Linked DNA regions of Alligator mississippiensis. The protein of the gene in region 1 interacts with the protein of each later gene in a pairwise test. Links are inferred from orthologs where the notes say so. Each region holds a gene or a part of one and is shown in the gene's direction. Other genes may lie near its edges. The genes, in order: LSM3, CLNS1A and LSM10.

Region 1 (7,162 bases):
TGGGGGGCACCCGGGGTCCCCCCACGTTCCTGTGGGACGCTCCATGCGCCCCAGCATTGCAGCATTCATGAGCCACACCTGGTACACCTCAGGGTGTGTAGAAAAACATATAAAACTGTGTCTATGGCTGAATCACTGATTCTCTGAATCAGCATCGAATCTTCAGATTTGGATTCGGCCAAATAATTGAATCAGGACAGAAATCCAAATCAGTTAATCGAATTGCTGTTCCCCAAATCGGGCTGAATCTAAACCTGAATTGAATACAGCCTGCTTCGCACACTCCTAACTTACAGGATCAGCATTTTAACACATGCCATGCACTGTGACCATTTATTGGACCCTGCATAAAGATGGACGGGTTCCACTGAAAGCAGCCAGAATCAGTTAAACTATCCCAAAGAATGTCTGATAGTTGATAAGGCCATGTTGAAAGATTCGTACCTTCCACATCCTCCCATTCATCCTCACTTTCATCATCATTGCTGCCATCATTGTTTTCATCCATCTCTTTTTTAACAGTGGATTCTCTCTTCAAACTCTTCCCGTTCCCAGAGGGGCTTGGTAAACCACTATAAAGGTTGCACAAAAAAAAACTTCAAAGTTGTGGGTTATATCATCTTGTTTGTTTAAAATGTGGAGGGAGGACAATGTCTGTACTAATTAGAGGAACACATGTAATATGACAACGTTATCAATAACAACAGCTGCAAAAGCTTAGAATATACTTAAAACCTAAACCACAAATACCAGCATGGACACAATCTTTGCAAGCAATACATGGATGATAAACACAAAATATTTCACTGGCATTTTTAAGTCTGTTTATGTTGCATTATAAAATGCCTCCAATTTAAAAAAAAAACTATAATTTGGGGGGTCTTAAGTCCTTAACAACTTCCTTCTGAAATTAAAATACACATTAAGCTTGGAAAAGCCTCAAACGCTTTCCACCCCCATTCAGTTCCATACACTTGATCCCATGAACATGCACACAAGTAATTTGGCTCATATGTGAAGCTATGATGAACAGAATGGTACCAAACAGCAGAAGTAAATTTCTCCTATATGAGGTTTGTTGAACTGGGTGTTAAGTAAACATGTTTAGCAATGGACATGTAATAGTTGTATTGATGCAGTCAGTTAACTTACCTGCACATTTCCTCCTCTTTAGGATTTCCTTCATTTTTTATAGCTTTGTTATTTTTCCCCTTTCCTCTTGACTTTGATTCTTTTTGGCTTGTAGCTCTAGTTGCTGGACTGTAAACTCTAGTGTCACCATCTTCTTTCTTCTTCTTCTTTCCACTGAGGGCCTTTGAGACACTCCTCTTCAAAATAGGCTTTTCCTCTTCAAAGTCATCTAAATTGGAACAGAGGGAAAGAAGTGTTATGGAGCAAAATCCTGGCTCTCTTGAAATCAACCATAAAACACCTACTGACGTCAATGGGGCCGAGTTTCTATGGAGCAAAAAATGCAGGCTAAGAGCGAACAAACTGCCTTTAAGGATATCCTTAAAACAAATGGGTAGCATTAAATCAAAAAGCACGTGTGAAATAAAATTATAAGGAAAGTTCAGCTCAGAAGACAAAAGATTTATTCCTGGGTCTTTTCCAATGATGACAAAAAAAAAGCAAATATTCTTGCTTCAGTACTGCATATTGAAGCATCTACTGCATAAAAAAAAATCTCTAGGCAAGTGGAATTTTTGCAAGTTTGATTTAAATAACCCCTTTTCTCAAGAGTCTCCTGAAGCAACAGCAAGCTGCTTTCTTAACCTGCTGCGTCTATGTACTACTATGATGAATTGGATAGATCTTACACGTATGAAATCGATCTGGTTTCATGCAACATAGCAGGCTTACCTACCTTTCAGATTATGGCCTAATGTAGTTGAGATAAAGTTAGACAAGTTTTCACATGTAAGATATTTTTCTCAGGTCTTACATGTGAAAGCTTGCTTATTTTCATCCCAACTCCATAGTTGGTCCAATCAAAGATCTCACCCTATGAAATCCTTGCCTCTTGCATTATTTCTGGATCATCATAGTTACAACATCACTCTTACACTACCATAGAGGGAGAGAGCATTCACTTAGATAGCTCTAGAGCAATCTACACCCCGCTGGCATTCAATATCCCCCCTGGTATCCACGGGCAAATCTAGGATTTTGAAAAGAAGGGTGCAGATGGTGTAGAACATCATATCATAGGATCACAGAAAATTAGGGTTGGAAGGGACCTCAGGAGGTTATCTAGTCCAGTGGTTCTCAACCTTTTTTTGTACAAAGACCCATTTGTAAACATTGATGGCCAGTCCCGACCCAGTGCCCCTCACTCCTGACCGACTGCTTTCTGCCGCCAGCTCCCCAGTGTGTGGGGCAGGAGTGATACATGTGGGGCATATGTGTGGGGCGTGGGGCATGGGGCATAGGGCATATGTGTGGGGCATGGGGGGCTCCAAGCAGCCCGCTGCAGGCGGGAACTCTGACAACCTGCAAGAGAAAAGCCACCGTTTCCCACATTTTATTCCTTTAAAGGAGAATCCATTTTGTTGATCCATTTTTAAAGTTTGTTCAAGACCCTCTCTCATATTCTTGCTACCCACTTTTGGGTCACAACCCATATAGGTAGAGAAACACTGAGCTAGTCCAACCTCCTGCTCACAACAGGACCATCCCCAACTAGATCGTCCCAGTCAGGGCTTTGTCTAGACAGGTGATCTGCCGAGGTCCCTTCCAGCCCTAACGTCCATGAAATCTATGAAAAAATCTCCAAGGATAGAAATTGAAACTAAAACTACACCACTATCCTTCTACTTCTTTTCCTTCCATTATAACAAGGCAGGTTGTTCATTCATTTGTTGCTTCCACCGTTTTACAGACAGATATAACCAAAGTATAATACAAGTAACTGTAATTTGAATCAATAATACAATGAGCAAAGGGCTGTAATAATGTAAATCCTTGGATGAAGATCCGATGGGTCAGGTTATCCCACCGGTTGTCTGCAGTACTTTCTTGGATGCTAGCACTCAGTTCCTGGAGCTGTTTGTTTTTTTGATCCATGAGCATCCCCACAACTTTCCCTTCTTCTTTTAGGAGAGACCAGTCTTTCTCTATTTACCAATTTCTTCCAGCTCCTTCCACAGCCAAATGTGCAAGTTAAGGCCACCCACACGAAAGCGCTGTACTACGGCTTCTGGGTCAATCTGTTGTGCAACGATCCCAGCGCTCGCCCCTAGGAGCCCAGGGCAGGGGGTCGGACTTCGTGATCCGTTCAGATCCCTTCAGACCCTAGAAACTAGGAAACGCTTTATATTTGATGCCTGGGATCCAGGACCTCACCCGTCTGTGTGGAAACGTTACGGCACCACGCTCCCTCTTCACGACCGCTCCGGGTAACCTGTGCCGGTGCTTTTCTACCCTCCTTGCGAAAGCTTTTCCTAATATCCTACCTAAACTTCCCTAAATGCAACTCACATTTTTTTTCCCCCTCCGGTCAAAAAAGAAACTTGACGCTTTATTAATATGCTAAGGGGGGGGGGGGGGCACTATACTATTAGAGCAAAAAACAACTATAACTATTGGAGTGCGCGTGAGTTTTCTAGAGCATATATAAAACTTAAAAAAAAACCCAAAATAGTCAAAGGGTATCGTATCGTCAGTGCTGAGGTCATCAAGAGTGAAAGGCATGTCTGTCACTCAGTTATATAACAAGATCCAGCCGTGTCGGGCTCTGGTGCTTTGCTGTCAGTCATTTCCACACCCGAGTTAACGTCTCACCGCCCCGGCACCGAGCCCGGCTTCACGGTCCGCGATCCCGGGGCCTCCAGCCGGGCCGCCGCCGCCGCACTCACCGTCCGACCCGCGCGGGGGCTTAGGCCTCTTGCTGGCGGCCTCCCGCGCCGGGACCCCGCGGCGCTTTCTCCCCATGCCGCAGCGCCGGCTCCCAGCCCCGCCCACCTGACGTCCCTTCCGGCCCCAGCACCCCGCCCCCCTCCCGTGAGACACCCGCCCCCTTGAGGTGAGCGGTGCCCATTTCACAGCTGCGAACACTGAGGGCTCGCGGGGAGACAGGCCACGCCCTCTCCCCTCGCGCGACGCGTGACGTCATCACGCCCCCAGCCCCGCGGGATGTGGAAGGCGGGTTCGTGGGATCTCGCGAGAGTTCGTTTGAAAGATGGCGGACGAGGTGGACCAGGTGAGGCGCTTTCCCCGAGCCGGCTCGTGTCATCCGTGTCTCGGCCGCGCTGGCGAGGCCTGAGCGCTGGGACGCTAGTGCTGGTGGGGCGGGCGCAGGCTGCCAGGCCCTCGGGGGATTATGCCCCGTTTGCTCAAGTTGCCGCTTCTGGTGGACGCTGGCTTGATCGGGGTGTCTGTGACACAACAGCAGTGTCCTCGCCCTGTCTCTGCCTGCGAGCCCCGGGGATTAGCACACGCAACGTCCAGGGGGTTTCATGCTTGTAATAGGAACCGCCTCGTTTTTTTCTCAGCAACAGACAACCAATACCGTAGAGGAGCCGCTGGATCTCATCAGGCTCAGTCTAGATGAGCGAATCTACGTGAAAATGAGGAACGATCGAGAGCTCAGAGGGAGATTACATGTAAGCGAAGATCACAGAATCGTAAATAAGGGTTGGAAGGGAGCTCAGGAGGTCGCATCTAGTCCAACCCCTGCTCAAAGCAGGACCAGCCTCAGCTAGATCACCCCCGCCAAGGCTTTGTCTAGTCAGGTCTTAAAAACCTCCAAGGCTGGAGCTTCCACAACTCTTGGTGATCTGTTCCTGTGCTTTACTACCCTCCTAGTGAGGGACTTTTTCCTAATATCCAACCTAAATCTCCCTTGCTGCAACTTGAAACCGTCGGGCATTTTTACCCATGCATGTGCCACAGCGCCGGGCGCTTTGAAAAGCACGTGATGCTGCAATGCATGCGGTTGGGTAAGTGGTGAAGTGCGCGTCAGAGCGTGGAAAATGGCGGTGGTCCACTTTTGAACTAAAACACATCAAAGGTGTTTTCATTCAAATGCACGCCGCTGCCATTTCCTCCGTGCTGGTGTGCATTTTGCCATTTATACAACTGCAGATGACGCAGTGCGGTGTGCATCAGCTCGTGTGCAGAGCAGACTCAGTTAATTAAGTCGATTAATCTGCTCTGATGCACTGGATCTGTGGTGCGTGGCAGCATGAAAAAGTATGTGTATAAATGCCCGTTGTTTCTTGTTCTGTCATGTGTCACCACTGAGAACAGTCCAGCTCCATCCTCTGCAGTCCCACCCTTCAGGGAATTGAATGCTGCTATTAAGTCCCCTCTCAGTCTTCTCTTCTCTAGACTAAATAAGCCCAGTTCCCTCAGCCTTTCCTTATAAATCATGCTCTCCGGCCCCCTGTCCATTTTGTTGCCCTCCACTGGACTCTCCGATTTGGCCGTATCCTTTCTGTATTGGGGGCCCAAAACTGAACACAGTACTCCACATGTGGCCTTACCAGTGCTGAATACAGGGGAATAATCACTTCCCTTGATGTGCTGGCAGTGCTCCCACTAATGTTAGCATTCTTTTCAACAAGGGTACGCTGTTGGCTCATATTCAGCCTATTGTCTGCTATAACCCACAGGTCCTTTTTTGCAGAGCTGCTGCTTGTCCAGTCAGCCCCTAGCCTGTCCTGGTGCATAGGATTATTCCATTCTAAGTGCAGGGTTTTGCACTTGTCTTTATTGAACTTCATGAGATTTACTTTGGTCCAATCCTCCAATTTGTCAAGGTCTCTCTGAATCCTAGCCCTACCCTCCGGCATATCTACTACTCCCCGCAGCTTGAGTATGCAGATGACACCAGCTCCATCCCATTATCCAGATCTGTGGAAATACTTGGGATCAGAGGTCAGTTGGGCTGCAAGGAACCTCTTGAGGTTGTCTAGTCCAGCCCCTGCTCAGGGTAGGATTGCCCCTGACTAAACCATCCCAGCCAAGTGCCTTTCCGACTTTCTCTCAAAAACTTCCAAGGACAGAGATTCCACAGCTTCTCTAGGTAGCCTGTTCCAATGCTTGACCACCCTCATAATCGGAAGGTTCCTCCTAATCTCCAACCTAAATTTCCCTTGCCGTAGTTTGAAGTCATTGCACCTAGTCTCTTTCCCCTATAGTTACAGAGAAACCCCATCTCCATCATTTCTATAGTCATGACTTGGGTATTTGAAGGCTGTTATCAAATTCCCCTTGGTCTTCTATTCTGCAGGCTGGTGAAGGCTGGTTCAGTAGGTAGTATTAGAGACAGATGATGCCTTCATTTCTGTTGTAATGGTGAACTTGTCTGTAGTGCTGCATGCAGGTTACCATAAACTAAATTATGATCTTAATTTAGGGGTCGGCGTCTTTTGACATGCATGTTGTAAGTGGCATACGCTGCATCTATGAGGCACAGGAGATCAGGGAGGCAAAAGAGAACACGGTGGCAGATAGGGCAGAAAGTAGAGCAGGCAGAAGAAGGGAATTAGAGTGACGGACTGGGAGGGTGCAGGGCTTACCATTTGGGTTGGTCTAATAAAAGATATCAAATTCACCCAAGGAACCTTGTGGGCTTACCATGTGACACTTCAGCCAAAAAGTTGGCTTCCCACTGATTTAAAGTTGTATGGCAATTTTTGCACCTGGCACGCAGCACAATCATATCTTGTGATTAGAAACATCTGAAAGGTGGCATATTTCCCCCCTTTGCAAAAGAACTTACTCCTGCTTTCCATACCAGATGTTCTAACAATGTGATAATTCAGAGCAGTGATTGTCAACCAGGATAGCACAGTTCCTCAGGCTGCCATGAGATTTTTTTCAGGGAGTGCTGTAAACAAGTGATCCAGTAAAACTGCCCTGCATGTAGTGCACATCCTTCCTGCGTTAGGGTTCTCTAATAACTGTAAAGGAGACAGCAGGGTCAGCTTGTGCTGTAGCCCATCCCAGTTAACCCCAACCTCAATCCCCTGACATGCCAAAAATCAGAGGCATGCATGACAGCTCCACTGTCCCACCTGACTCTTCCTGGGAGATATTGTGCAGTGGCAGACCTAGAATGGCTGCAGCACAATCCAATAGGGCTGCGCAAAGTTTTGGGTACTGATTTGATTCAGAGGAGATTTGGCCCAATTCGGTAGCCAAATCTCCGAATCCA
Region 2 (7,618 bases), on another chromosome or scaffold:
AATCCAGTATTTGATATTTGGGAGTGGGGCATCTGGCTTTTAAAGGGAAAAAGAAGGTGGGGATTTTCTCCCCTCTCTAGTGGCAAAAGTCTTCACTGTCCGTATCAGATGCATAACTCATCCTCTCAGTCCCCAACCAACTTGCCACTATGCTGCCTTTTGCAAAGCGCATGCAAGCTCTGCACAAAAATCTATGGCACAACAAAAATAAATACCTCAGTCCCTAAGGAGCATGCACTTTAAGGTAATACAACTTGCTGTTCTGCATAATAATCCACTGTGGGCTTTTCCTTAATAAAAACATTCCCTTTTTCTAAAAGTTCAATGGACTGTGTTGCAGTTTTCCTCAATAATTGCAGAGACAGTGGGAAGGGCTGTCTGGATATTGAGACAAGAGGCAGGTCAGACTATAAAACAGTGTTGTCCTTTCTTCCAGCTTGTGATCCACGGTGAGTGATAATATTTATAATGTGCTTATGCTTGATCTTGCCCGGTCTGCTGTGGATCATTGTAGCAAGTGGAAAGCACAGTTTAAGTTTGTTGGGCAAACACTTGGCATTAGCTAGGCACAACTGGAGAGAAGCAAGCCTGAGTATAGAGCCAGTCCTCAGCTCCCTCTTGTCCTGTATCAGCACAATCCTGTAAACTTTCATTCATGTGAATTGTGCCCAGCCATACTGAAGTACCACTGCCCAGTGACAGTCCCAGCACCTGCCACCTAGGGAATTCTTTGCCTGAGCAATGATTTGAATAATTGAAGCCAGAAATGGACAACAGAAGAAGAACCCTGTGGCTCTGATCTATAAATCCTTTTTCCTTCCTAAGAAGCCATAAAAGTTGTATGGCCTTATAACAGAGGGGAAACCTACAGTTGGGCCCCAGAGCAGCCTCAATTCTTGTCCTTGCTGGGTTCAATGCAAATACCCAATTATAAAAAGTTTATCAGTGCAAATTTTATTTTAGCACTTTTAGCGAATGTAATCCTTATTGTCCCCTTTGTGGTTACTTGAATCTTCTGTGGGTTTTGTGAGGGCTAAAAAAGTTCAAAGATCGTATCAGTTATCAAGTTATAACGGGAAGATTTGTTTCCAAGTTAAACTTGAAAGCATGGAGTTGCTTTGTGTGCAGGACAGACTTTTAATTGGAACAAGGCAGCATTGACTTTATTAACTTCAAAAAGTCTAAAGTATGACTTGGTGGTTCCAACTCCCTCCCTCCTGTTGTATGTGGGGAATTAATTTCCTCAACTGGCTCCTTTTCCTCAAAGAAAAATGGCTTAACCCATTGCTAACCAGGAGTATAAGGAAAAAAAGACAAATATATCAAGGTAGGAGACATTAGAGGTGCAATTGTATCCATCTTGACCCTTTTAAAATACCCATCTCTTAGCACAACTGCCTCATAGTAGCATGCTGCATTACTCCTGTTCTCGGGCAGTGTAAAAGGGTCACCTCGAGGAACTTGTCTCAGCAAGAGAAATCTGCACTGATGTAGCTTCCTGGATGTTATGGATTGTTGTGTTGGTGCTTAAATACAAAGCCTCCTTTTCCACCAATGCAGCACATCTACAATACAGACTTGTAGCTAAAAAAGTGCAGTTAGACCAAGGATATGAACAGAACCAGGGTCTAGGAGGGTAGGCTAATGTTCCCGCTTTTGCAACGTTAGATATCTGTCCTGAGACTGCCAGCAACTGACTGATCTTAACTGGCAGTAGCTTGCGATGTAGCCACGTCTGCAGTAGAATCTGGTCCCAGGCCTTTGAACCCCTTTCTCATGAGGCCACCACATCCTCATCAGAGAGAAAGTCAAGCAGAGAATTGGCGATTGTTATTTGTGACTCTGCTTTTTTTCCCTTTAGCTCAATGTGGAATTCTGCGCATGCAGCCAAAATCCAGTGTAGTGGATTGGGTGATGGTTACTGAATAGCTCTCATGCTTTTTTTCTTATCTTTGCTGCCTTTCATAGTGAGGGCTACAGCCCATTAAACTTTCAACGCTGTCCAGGAAGGTGAGTTGAGTCTAATGAGTTCTCTTATCTGAACCTGGTGATCACCTTAATGCTTCTATTTGCTTTTGTTTTCTAGATGGTGAGCATTTTAAGACAGCAAAACTGCTGAAGACACAGGCTCTTGAAACACAAATGGGATGAGTACTGGGACCTTAGGCTGGAGCGGTTTGCACGAGACTCTGCCAAACACAGCTCACAAGGAAATGGATTTTTTCAAGTGAAATGCCTCCTCTTTTAATGGAGAGACAAGGTTTTTTTGTGTAAATCTGGTATCTTTTATTAGACCAACTCAAATAGTTGGGAAAAAAATCATCTTTGCAAGCTTTCAGGTATAAATACCCTTCGTCAGGCTGAGGAAGCATCTGCAGTTGGTGCATGCTCTTTCTGGATGCAATGTGATGATTTAAAGAGTTGAACAGATATGCCAAAGAGTGACAACGCCTAGGACAGTTGTCTCTGTAGCGGTTGAAGGAGGCATGCATTTGTGTCCAGCCCATGCACTTCAGCTATGGATCACAATACTGTAATTCCTTTATTTTCTATTTGTGTCTGATTGGGACCAGGAGAGGAAGGGCAGAGTAAAGGAACCAGAAGCGGTAGTGGTTGCTACATTCCCCACATCTGCATCCCTCATCCTTACAAACTGTGGGAATACAGCAGTCACCTTTTAGGCAGTGACATCTGAGACAGCCCTGGCTGATCCACAGACAGCTGTTAGCAGCCCTGAAACGGACCACGGCTACTCAACGTAAGGGCTGGTCCAATTGCCACGTTTACGAACAGACCCTAGTCAGATGCTGCCAGGTGCTGATCCAGGAGCAAGTTTTCCAAGTCAGGCTATCCATCCCGCTTGAGGGAGTCACTAGTCTCACTGGGATATAGCTGAACATTTGGGAGGGGAAAAGCGGGCACTGGCATGGCAAAATCCAGGCGCGTCGGAAAGGGGGTGGCGGGGCCTGCTCCCCTTCCCTCTCCTGTTCCCGCAAGGCTGTCACCTCCGCCGGCATCATTTCCTTCGGAGAGGAGACGTAGCCAAACACGGGAGACGGGCGCTCCTCCCTGCGGCAGGGCTGTCAGCTGTCTGGTGGGTGGCATGATGAGCGCTGAGCGCTCCCAGCCAGCCGCACCGGAGAAGTCGGGAACGATGCGGAGCCTGTGAAGAAGAAACGAGGCCCCAGATGGGAAAGTGGAGAGCGAAGAGCCACAGATGCGAGGAAGAGGACGGGCGCCGGTGAGCGGGGAGACAGCTGCAGACGCCGGTCCTGCCAGCGCCAGCCAAGGCAGGTGGGCTGTGGCAAATGGGCCTGGCCACTGCCGCTGCGTAGCGATGGGCAGAGCGCTGGCGCGGGGCACAGGCTGGGGCACGCTGTGTTGGCAGAGGCCGAGCACGGTTCCTGCTGGGTTTCCTCCTGCCTGGTGAGTACAGCCGCATCGGCCCCTGCTTCGCTGTCATCCCGGACCTCAGGCTTGCACGGCCCTTGGCTTGACCTGCAGCGCGGCGTGGTCCCGGCGCGGCGACGCTGCGGGCCTGCTCTGCCTGGGGACGTGGGAGCTCAGCCTGGGCGTGCTCTACCCTGCCGCCCTCAGGGAGCCTGCGCGCAAGGGCCCGTTGGGGCGGTTGGCACAGCCGAGCGGGGTCGAGAGGCACCCACAGGTCCTGCCTGGCACCAGGGACTGTTGCCATGGATACCACCACCACTGGGACTGGAGGGGCTGTTGCCATGGATACGGCCAACTGTCACCTACTGGGCCTGATGGGGCTGTTGCCATGGATATGGCCAGCTTTCACCCACGGGTTGGAGGGGCTGTTGCCATGCCTACTTCCAACTGTCACCCACTGGGGTTGGTGGAGCTGTTGCCATGGATACTCCCAGCTGTCACCCACTGGGGTTGATGGGGCTGTTGCCATGGATACTCCCAGCTGTTATCCACTGGGGTTGGAGGGGCTGTTGGCATGGATGGCCAACTGTCACCCACTGGGGTTGATGGGGCTGTTGCCATGGATACTCCCAACTATCACCCACTGGGGTTGATGGGGCTGTTGCCATGGATACTCCCAACTATCACCCACTGGGGTTGATGGGGCTGTTGCCATGGATACTCCCAACTGTCACCCACTGGGGTTGATGGGGCTGTTGCCATGGATACTCCCAGCTGTCACCTACTGGGGCTGGAGGGGCTGTTGGCGTGGATACTGCCAACAGTTACTCACTGGGGTTGGAGGGGCTATTGCCATGGATACTCCCAATTGTCACCCACTGGGGTTGATGGGGCTGTTGCCATGGATACTCCCGGCTGTCATCCACTGGAGGTGGAGGGGCTGTTGCCATGGATACAGTCACCCACTGAGGTTGGGTGTGAGTGGGTCACTGCCCCTGCCGGGGGGGGCGGGGCCTGCACTACAGTGACTCCGCCTCGGGGCCCTACACCAGCCCTCCGCGCGTCACGTGACGGGAGGGGCAGGTTTCATTGGCCGGCGAAGGGGGTTTGGACGTAGCGTTCGCGACGGCGTCACGTGACAGGCCTGCAAATGGAGCGAGGGCTTCAACTTCCCCCCGTCCCGGCTTGACCATAGAGTGGCGGCTCCGGGGGCCAGCGTGCCGCCTTCTTTCTCTATGGTGGCGGGGGGGGAGAAGCGGTAGTTCCGCCTCCGGCCCGGGCGGGTTCCGCTTCCGGCGACGGCAGAAGCGGGACGGGACGGGGTGGCCATGAGCTTCCTGAAGCGGTTCCCGCCGCCGGCCGAGGGCGTCCGGCACCAGCAGCCCCACACCGAGGCCGTGCTGGGCGGCCGCGCCCTAGGCTCCGGCACCCTCTACATCGCGGAGAGGTGCGGCCGGGCCGGGGGCTCCGCGGGGCTGCCCAGGCCCAGCTGCAGCCCGGGGTGGGGGGTGAGAAGGCCTCAGGGAGACGATCCCGAGTCCCGAAGTCAGTTGAGACCCTCAGCCCCGGGTGGACCAAGAATCAAGGGGGGGAGTTGGTCTGTAAGGAGGGGAGCAGAGTCTCAGACCCGTGGGAGTTGTCCCACGTGCCCCGTGCACGGCTGGGATGAGCCAGGTCGGTGGTGCTACAGTGTTGCCAGCCCTGCCTTGCCCCAAATCATGAGATGCTATTTTTTGAAGTGTGTGTGGGTTTTTTGTGAAGGTGTTGGGGGGCTCTGTGCCCGTCTCCCTCGCTCTGGGAGGTCAGCCATGTGATGCCATTGCCACCCACTGCACGGGCAGGGGATGTGGGCGCGCTGACCACGCAGCACAATCCCTGCCCGCCCGGCAGCAGGAGGCTCACTGGGGCGTGGGGCAAATGCAGCATGGTGCAAAGCCCAGTCCATAGTGGACAGCACACTTCTGCCTCCCCCCGTGCCTCTGGACAACGTGCCCTGGCCCCGGGGCCCCATTCATCCCTGCCCCACTCCCTCACCATGGGGGCCTCCATCTGCCCCTCTCCCTCCACCTACCAGCTGGGAAAATCCAGAGATGTGATGGTTGGATATGGAGATCGCGAGTCAGTTATTTTGTCTTTGAAATCCTGAGTCTCGGGATGGTTTTGTGATAGTTGGCATTACTGCTGTTAGGCAGCTGCAGGAGGCTCGGGTTTGGGCCTCCTGTATGTCTTGCAGCCCTGTGCCAGCAAAGAGCGCTCGGCAGCAGGAAAAATCTTGGTGACGCGCTGCTGGCTGAGAAGCCAGACGGTCCTGGGGTCCTCAGCGAAGGAGAGATGGGATGGGGTTTGTTGTGGAGCAACCTCTTGTGCTGGGTTCCCGCTTGGAGTTGCGATTGCCGCTCTGTTGGTGGGATGGAGCTGCGGCTCAAACAGCGAGTGCTGTCAACCCACACAGGGCCCAGTTGTGGCCTGTTTTTTTTTTTTCAATAGACTTTTGTCTGCAGCTCGTACAAGTTGTTCTTGCTTCTTCCTCCCTGCTCTGTTCTAATGTGCTGCAAGGCTTTTTCCAGAGCTGTTTACAGGCCACGGATAGAAGGAGGCAGCGTATGCACCAGTTGCGTTATCAGCGATCTGTGTTGTGGGAGAACCAGGTGCTGCTGAATCCAAGTACAGAGCTGCCTGCTTGGAGAAGTGGGGGGAAAAGAGCTTGCTGGGCAGAAGTAGGAAAGCAGTTGCAGAACTGGAGAAGCAGGAGCATTGTAGCTATGTCTGGCCTGGAATTTATCAACAATACCCAAGAGTTGTGTGTGTTTAGGTCAAGAAGTGACCTGCACATTGAGCTGAAACTTGTCCTGGAGGAAAAAGTAGCTTTGGTCATGTTTAGCTTCAGGTAGAAAGTCCTGTTAGCACAGAGATGGAGCCTGGGCTTAGCAGTGACTGGGTGAACGCTGTTCACACCGTCTGTCGTGTGGGTGTGGCTGATTTGGCTGTTGTCTGCGAGATGTCACGGCTTTCCTGAGTTCCTGACTTGCCTTTTATTTATTTTTTTCCCTTAGTCGCCTGTCATGGTTTGATAACTCTGGTCTGGGCTTCTCCTTGGACTACCCCACCATAAGTTTACATGCTGTCTCCAGGGACCTCACTGCCTATCCATGGGAGCATTTGTATGTCATGGTGAATGCCAAGTTCGAAGGTATAGTATGCCTGCAATGTGACCCTCTGGTAACTTGTCACTTGAACAGTCAGTTATGAACAGTGGGGAGCTTGGGATTCAGAAGTGCCAGTCCTTGCCCAGCATTCCTCATTTCAAACAACATATCCTAGGGCCTCTTCTCTTTCTCTTGGGACCTCAGCTGAGTGCTTGTATTAGGACCATTCTACCATTGCACTTGCTCTCCTGCTTCTGGGCAAGTTAAACTGTCTCACAGGACCATGTTCCTGTTAAATGTCACTTTTCACCCCTCTGCTCTCTTGAACCTCCTTAAACATTTCTGCTTAGCCAGTTTCCCTTAGATTCTTGTGCCCCCTTCCCATGCTCCATGCATTGCTTTGCACTCCTCTACTCCACTCATTTAGTATCTCGTGAATGGGTGCTCACATGCCTTCTAATGGAGAGCAGACAGGAAACCTCCATCCCATGTTCATGGAATGTTTATTTCACACGAGCAACTTCCATAAGAGTTGCTTATATTTAGAGGCTTGTTGAATCTTTAAAGATTTCCTACAACAGACTTTTTTTTACAGAGGCTTTTGCCATTTCTTTATTGTTCACGGTTTGGACAGAAATTTGCAGGGCTTATTTTTTTTTAAATTACGTTTTAAAATCTTTTACAAATATCAGGTTTGCTATATCTGTTTTGGAAGACTTCTTAGGGGAGCATGTGTGGGGTGAAATGTAACGCCTCAGCTGTAGAGCACGAGTGCTAAATCTTTATTAAAGACATCTTTTCTCTGTAATTCTAATAGGTCATTTCTGCTAAGCAGATGTTAAAGCCACCTAAAAGCTATGGTTTAAATAGACTGACTTGAAAATCTTTCCACCTCTCTAGCACTATCAGCTGCTTCAGTTTTCAGACTCTGTAACCTTCTCATGTAGTAACTTTGCTGGTAATAATAATAATAATAGAAAAATAATAGAATCATAGAAAATTAGGGTTGGAAAGGACCTCAGAAGGTCATCTAATCCAACCCCTTGCTCCAGGAAGGACCATCCCTAACTAGATCATCCCAG
Region 3 (5,322 bases), on another chromosome or scaffold:
TGCTAAGTTCTTGACCTCAGTGGAAAGGAATCCCATGCTCCATGTGTTCTATTAAAAAAAAAAAAAGTTTTGATTAGTTCTGAGTTTGCTGCTGTTTAATTGTATATGGGATCTCCTTGTTCTTGTGTGAGAGATCTCTTGATCATACATTATTTTATATGCTTCTACTCTGCCCATTTGCTTGTTCCGTTTTTCAAGCAGACCATGCCAGTATTTTCATTCTCCATCACTGGGGGTTGTTCCAGGCCTCTACCTTGTCACCCTTCTCTGAACACTATCCAATTCTGCACTGTCCATATTAACAGAGAGAGGGAACAGTAGTGCGCAATACTCTAGACCAGGCCACCTCCTTGACTTCTATAATGAAAGTCTAATTTTTCTGTATTATCTGTTGTCCTGTTCCTCATGCATCCTTAAATCTTGCTTCTCTTGAGCACTTTTCAATATTTTGAGAGGTGGAGAAGTTTAGTTTTCCAAATTTAGCAGCTATTCTAACTATCCAGGAAATTACTTTGTTCTGTATCTGTAAATTCAAACATCTAATTAATGTGTATGTATGTGCTAAACATCAGGACCTACATTTATACCACAATAACAGAAATGTGTTAATTATGTCACTCCTGAAAAATGTTTTCTTAATGAAACCAGAAACAAAAATGTATGGTCAGTCTCTGGATTGATAAACAAATAACAGCTTCATTTATTGCTTTCTGCAGGAGAACGCAGCCCCTAACCCTCTTGCTAAGGAAGAACTGAACTTTTTGGCTAGATTAATGGGCGGTCTTGAGATCAAGAAACCCAGTGGCACTGAGCCAGGATTCCGATTAAACCTGTTCACCACAGATGAGGAGGAAGAGTATGCTTAATTCAGAGCTTGTTTTGTGCATGTGATTTTGGTGCTGGGTGAAGTGCTGTGTTAAGAGTCGTGGAGACAGAAGCTGTCTCTCCACAATGTAAGTACAGTACTGGCAACCCTTCTAGTGTCTCAATTCTGACTCGATTCCCCAATGGATTCCATTGGGGAATAAGGGGTGATATTCAATCTCTCTGGCACGGCCCCACCTTGGCCTCCATTTTGAGATTACTAGCAGGGGAGCCAGTTTACATTGGGAGTGTAGAGACTGCTCCTCTGGAAGAGAACTGATGATACCTCACTGCTCAGCAGCGAATGATCTCTTATCAGTAGAAACTTGGTCTTAGATTTGAACCTGTGGCCAAAAGTGAAAGAAACTGTAGCCCATTACCAATACCCCTTTGCTCCTTTCAGACATGCATATTACGGCCTTCACAATAGCTCAGCCAGTCAGGTCTCTGCTGTGATTCTTCTAGTTCCCCTTTGGTAAAGTGAACAATTTTCTGGCTTGCAGTGATCAGGGGAAGGCTATGAACCATTCCATTCCCTGATGATGGGTGCAGAACACATTTGGTACAAATTCACCTCAATCAAAGAACCATTCCCATCACTCCAGTCAGCAGAAAACACACAAACCTGCAGAGATATACAAAGATGGTTGCCTGTTCTCTTGTCCATTGTAGTCACATAAATGGGGAAAGTTGAGTCAGGCTTCCAAGTGCTAACTTATTAAGCATCTCCAGACAAATGTTTTCTTCATTCATTCATTCACTTATCATTATGGGATTGAGTAAATGTGTTTATACTTTCTATCCAGACATGCAGCATTGACCAGGCCAGAAGAACTGTCTTATAAGGTTATCAATATACAAGCAACTCAGGTACGTGCAGTGATCTTTATTATGTGATCTTTATCATCTCCTTGCTGCCAAGGGTTGACTTGTATCTTAAAGATGCATTTGATGTTTTAAAAATATTAGCATGCTTTTGCAGAACCTGGTTAAGATCCCAAATCAATTAAGGAAATTCTACAAAGATTTGGCTATTAACACATTTGCTATTAACACATTTGTTGTACAATAAACCATTCACTGGCCAAAGCCCAACTTAAAAAAAAAAATGCCAACAAAGACTAGACTGGATTGTTCTCGTGCTCCTAGCTGCAGTCCTGCAGGAGATTAAGTTTAGCAGGTGAATGTTTGTAGCATTGGTAGGTAAATGCAATCCAAGTTCCATATTATGTTTCCAATCCTGTGGCCCTTACACAGTCAGCATCCCCACGGACTTTGCCTCGTTTGGGACCACAAATTGCATCATTAGCTGTTCTAGGGAAACAACTGTCTACATTCTTTTACTGTTGTTTATTTTCAGCAGCTATTCAACTGTTGATCCATGAGGGTTTTTAATTGTGCAGTTACTGAAATCTCTCTCTGTTGAATTTACTTTTCATATACATAATATTCAAAATAGAAAGGACTTTTCTAAGGTTAATAAAATGTTAGCCTTTACACTTGAGCCCTTTACCCAGTTACTCTGACTGAAACCATTGTGAAATGAAGGAGTTACATGGCGGGGTCCTTTCCTTCTAAACAGGATCAAGAGCGGAACAAGGAGCTGGCTCAAATCATGGGGGAATTTGAGGTGACGGATCAGCCCAGACAGAGCACCAGCAAGGGAGACGATTTGCTGGCGATGATGGACGAGCTCTGATATTCCATCTCCCAAAGGCACAGGCAGGACATGGAGCTGCCTCTAGTCACGTAGTTTGACACAGCCAAACCCTGCTGCCGTTACAGATCCCATCTGTTGGTTTTGGGACTGATGTGCCTAGGCCCGCACGTGGCACCAGAAGCAGGCTCTGGGGGCTACTGACACATGTTCTGCCATAGGCACTCTGGTTTTAAATGTGGCATTTTACATATTTGCTTCCTTCATCTTCTATCATAACTCTAGGCTATCCCATGCCAGGGATGCAGCTGCCCAGTAGCTGCAACGAAAGTGCAGTGTTCGTGTTCTGCCTGTATCCTCCTCCGCTGGATGCCGGGTTCTGTCCATGTCCTTTACTGTGAGAAGTGGAAGCTGGCACAGTGTCTACCAGCCAGTGCCTGGCTCTCATAGATGGGGGAAGGAACCACTCCTCCTTCATCCAGAATCATTGTCAGATGTGTGTATCCATGTGTCCAGCATCACACACAAGACACCCGGGCAGCGCACAGATGAAGTGAGTGACACCAAGTGTTCTGCTCCGACCTGGGCTGTGTCCGTGTGGCTGCATACATGCCAGGGCTCCCCCGGGGCCACCATGCGATATGCCACTGTCTACCTTGGTCCCTGCATGAGCAGCACCTGCAGTGGGGCTCCCTGTGGCTGCTGCATGCTTCAACCCCTGGCATCTGCACCCTCTGGCTCCCAGTGCTGTGGCTGAGGGTGACACCTGCCATGGGCTCATGGGGTTGCTCCAGCTGGTGATCTTTTGCCCTGGATTACATTTGTGTAGAGGATTTATGAATGTACTTCCTGTCCTGTGTTGGCCATGTAGTGTAGACAAGGCGGTCGTGACTGTTCTAGGTGATCTGAGCATCGCGCTGTCTGTCATCAGGCACAGAACAGCTCCCTGGTTGGTACCGACTGCACCGAGTCGTGCCTCGACTTCTCTCCACGTTTCCAGGGAAATATCGCTTCTTGCCTGTACTGGAAGTTGCTGTATGTACTGTGACCAAATGCTGGTGTTGGTGGAGGTGTCCTGTAAGGAGGAAATAAAAATGAAAGCTAGGCTTGTGTTTCAGAGTACCGCAGAAACCAGAATAAACTTCAGTGTGTCTGTGCTTGCGTCTCAGAGTTGAGTGTGTCCGGGAGCGAGGTCTGGCCGTCTCAGCAGTGTTGTCATCCACGTTCTGAAATGCCGCAGGGAGGCAAACGCGTGTTTTCTGAAGCCTGAAGTCAACCCTAAGAGCCACGAGGGGGGAGAGGGGAAGGGCGGGGGTTCAGCGTTCACACGAGCCAGACCCGATTGCTGGAGCCGGGATCCCTCCTTATTAAACCGCTTGGGGCCTTCTGTTTCCGGGACCAAATAGCTATTCCACGCTCGTGACCCGCTCCGCGCGGGTCGGGTCCGCGCAGCGCCCACGTGTCCACACAGCGCGCCCGCTCCCGCCTTGGCACCGGCCGTTCAGTGCGCAGGCGCGGCGACTAGCTAATCCCCGTGAGGCTCACTCGGCTGCTCAGTGCGCAGGCGCAGCGGCAGCCAATCCCTGCGGGCCCCGGCCACTCACTGCGCAGGCGCGGCGGGCCGGCCCACGCACCCCTTGACTCCGGCGAGGAGCGGGCCTGTCCGTGTCCGTGTCTCCGTGGCCATGTGGGCGCCGGCGTCGCCGCGGGAGCGCGCCATCTCGGAGAACAGCCTGGTGCTGCTGCTGCAGGGGCTGCGCGGGCTCGAGGCCACCGTGGACCTGCGCGACGAGAGCGCGGCCACCGGGCGCGTGGCCAACGTGGACGCGTTCATGAACATCCGCCTGGCGCCCGCCGCGCTCACGGACCGGCGCGGCCGCCGCCACTGCCTGGAGCAGCTGCTGGTGGCCGGGCGCAGCGTGCGCTATGTGCACCTGCCCGACGGCCTGGACGTGCGCGCCACGCTGCAGGCCCAGCTCCGCCTGCTGCAGCGCCTGCGCCGCCCCGCGCCCGCCGCCGCCCGCCGCGAGTTCCCAACCGCCCGCCGCAAGTGAGCGCCGCCGCCGCCTCCTGCCCCTGCGGAGCCCAGCACCGCGACGCCGCCACCGCCCCCGGGCTGACGACTCTGGGCCGGCCCCTTCCGGCCGCTACCGCCGGGCACCGGAGGACGCAGCTTGGTGTCCCGTCCGCAGGCAGCGGAGACGTTTTGCAAATAAACCCCCGTGGCGGGAGCTGCTGGACCCTGTGCTGTGCTGTGCTGTGCTGTGCTCCGCTCCTAGCGGGGCCTGTCGTTGCCGCGTGACCGCGACCTTTGCTGGCCCGCGCCCGCGCTGCCGGGGCCGGGCTGTACCCCGAGGTGCTCAGGGCCGCCGCCTCTGCAGCACTCCGGCCCTCGCAGTGGGCCCTGGCGGAGGTCTGGTGCAGGAACCCGGGTGCCGTTGTGCCGGAGGCAGCCAGGGCCGTGCAGCTCCTGGCCTGCCCGGCAGGGAGGCCTAGTCTGCAGCCCGCGTTTCCCCGGCGGGTTCTGGGCCGGGCTCCCTGTGCTGCGTGTGCCCGTCACGCTGGAGGCCTGAGGTTCGGCTGGGCCGGGCCCTGCCCCCAGCAGCTGGGGGGGGGCAGCTGGGCCGCGGCTGCAGAGTGGCAGCACACGCACGGCGCCGTCCCGGTCCCCGGTTTCTGCAGGGCGAGGCCGGGCAGGAGCTCCCGGGGCCTGGGCGTAGCGGTGGGATGGGGGCTGCCCGGGAGCACGTGGGCATGCGCGCACATGCACACGTAGGCGGGGCAGCCCAGGGCTCCCTCGC

What was found.
Region 2: the proteins of LSM3 (region 1) and CLNS1A interact in binary tests that used the Homo sapiens proteins (3 or more experiments, as listed by UniProt). The link is inferred for Alligator mississippiensis from reciprocal best matches to the Homo sapiens genes LSM3 and CLNS1A.
Region 3: the proteins of LSM3 (region 1) and LSM10 interact in binary tests that used the Homo sapiens proteins (3 or more experiments, as listed by UniProt). The link is inferred for Alligator mississippiensis from reciprocal best matches to the Homo sapiens genes LSM3 and LSM10.

What each region holds. Positions count from the first base shown.
Region 1 is NC_081835.1:16,882,360-16,889,521, reverse strand, and holds the start of LSM3 (U6 snRNA-associated Sm-like protein LSm3), read left to right. Parts: upstream 1-4,103; 5' UTR 4,104-4,180; coding exon 4,181-4,201; intron 4,202-4,493; coding exon 4,494-4,604; intron 4,605-7,162. Other genes in the region: XPC (DNA repair protein complementing XP-C cells), read right to left, coding at 445-572, 1,153-1,360, 3,858-3,933. UniProt on the Homo sapiens protein: Plays a role in pre-mRNA splicing as component of the U4/U6-U5 tri-snRNP complex that is involved in spliceosome assembly, and as component of the precatalytic spliceosome (spliceosome B complex).
Region 2 is NC_081824.1:465,355,054-465,362,671, forward strand, and holds the start of CLNS1A (methylosome subunit pICln), read left to right. Parts: upstream 1-4,592; 5' UTR 4,593-4,718; coding exon 4,719-4,837; intron 4,838-6,443; coding exon 6,444-6,580; intron 6,581-7,618. UniProt on the Homo sapiens protein: Involved in both the assembly of spliceosomal snRNPs and the methylation of Sm proteins.
Region 3 is NC_081829.1:240,126-245,447, reverse strand, and holds LSM10 (U7 snRNA-associated Sm-like protein LSm10), read left to right. Parts: upstream 1-3,978; 5' UTR 3,979-4,206; coding exon 4,207-4,575; 3' UTR 4,576-4,761; downstream 4,762-5,322. Other genes in the region: protein OSCP1, read left to right, coding at 717-856, 1,671-1,734, 2,447-2,563. UniProt on the Homo sapiens protein: Appears to function in the U7 snRNP complex that is involved in histone 3'-end processing. Increases U7 snRNA levels but not histone 3'-end pre-mRNA processing activity, when overexpressed. Required for cell cycle progression from G1 to S phases.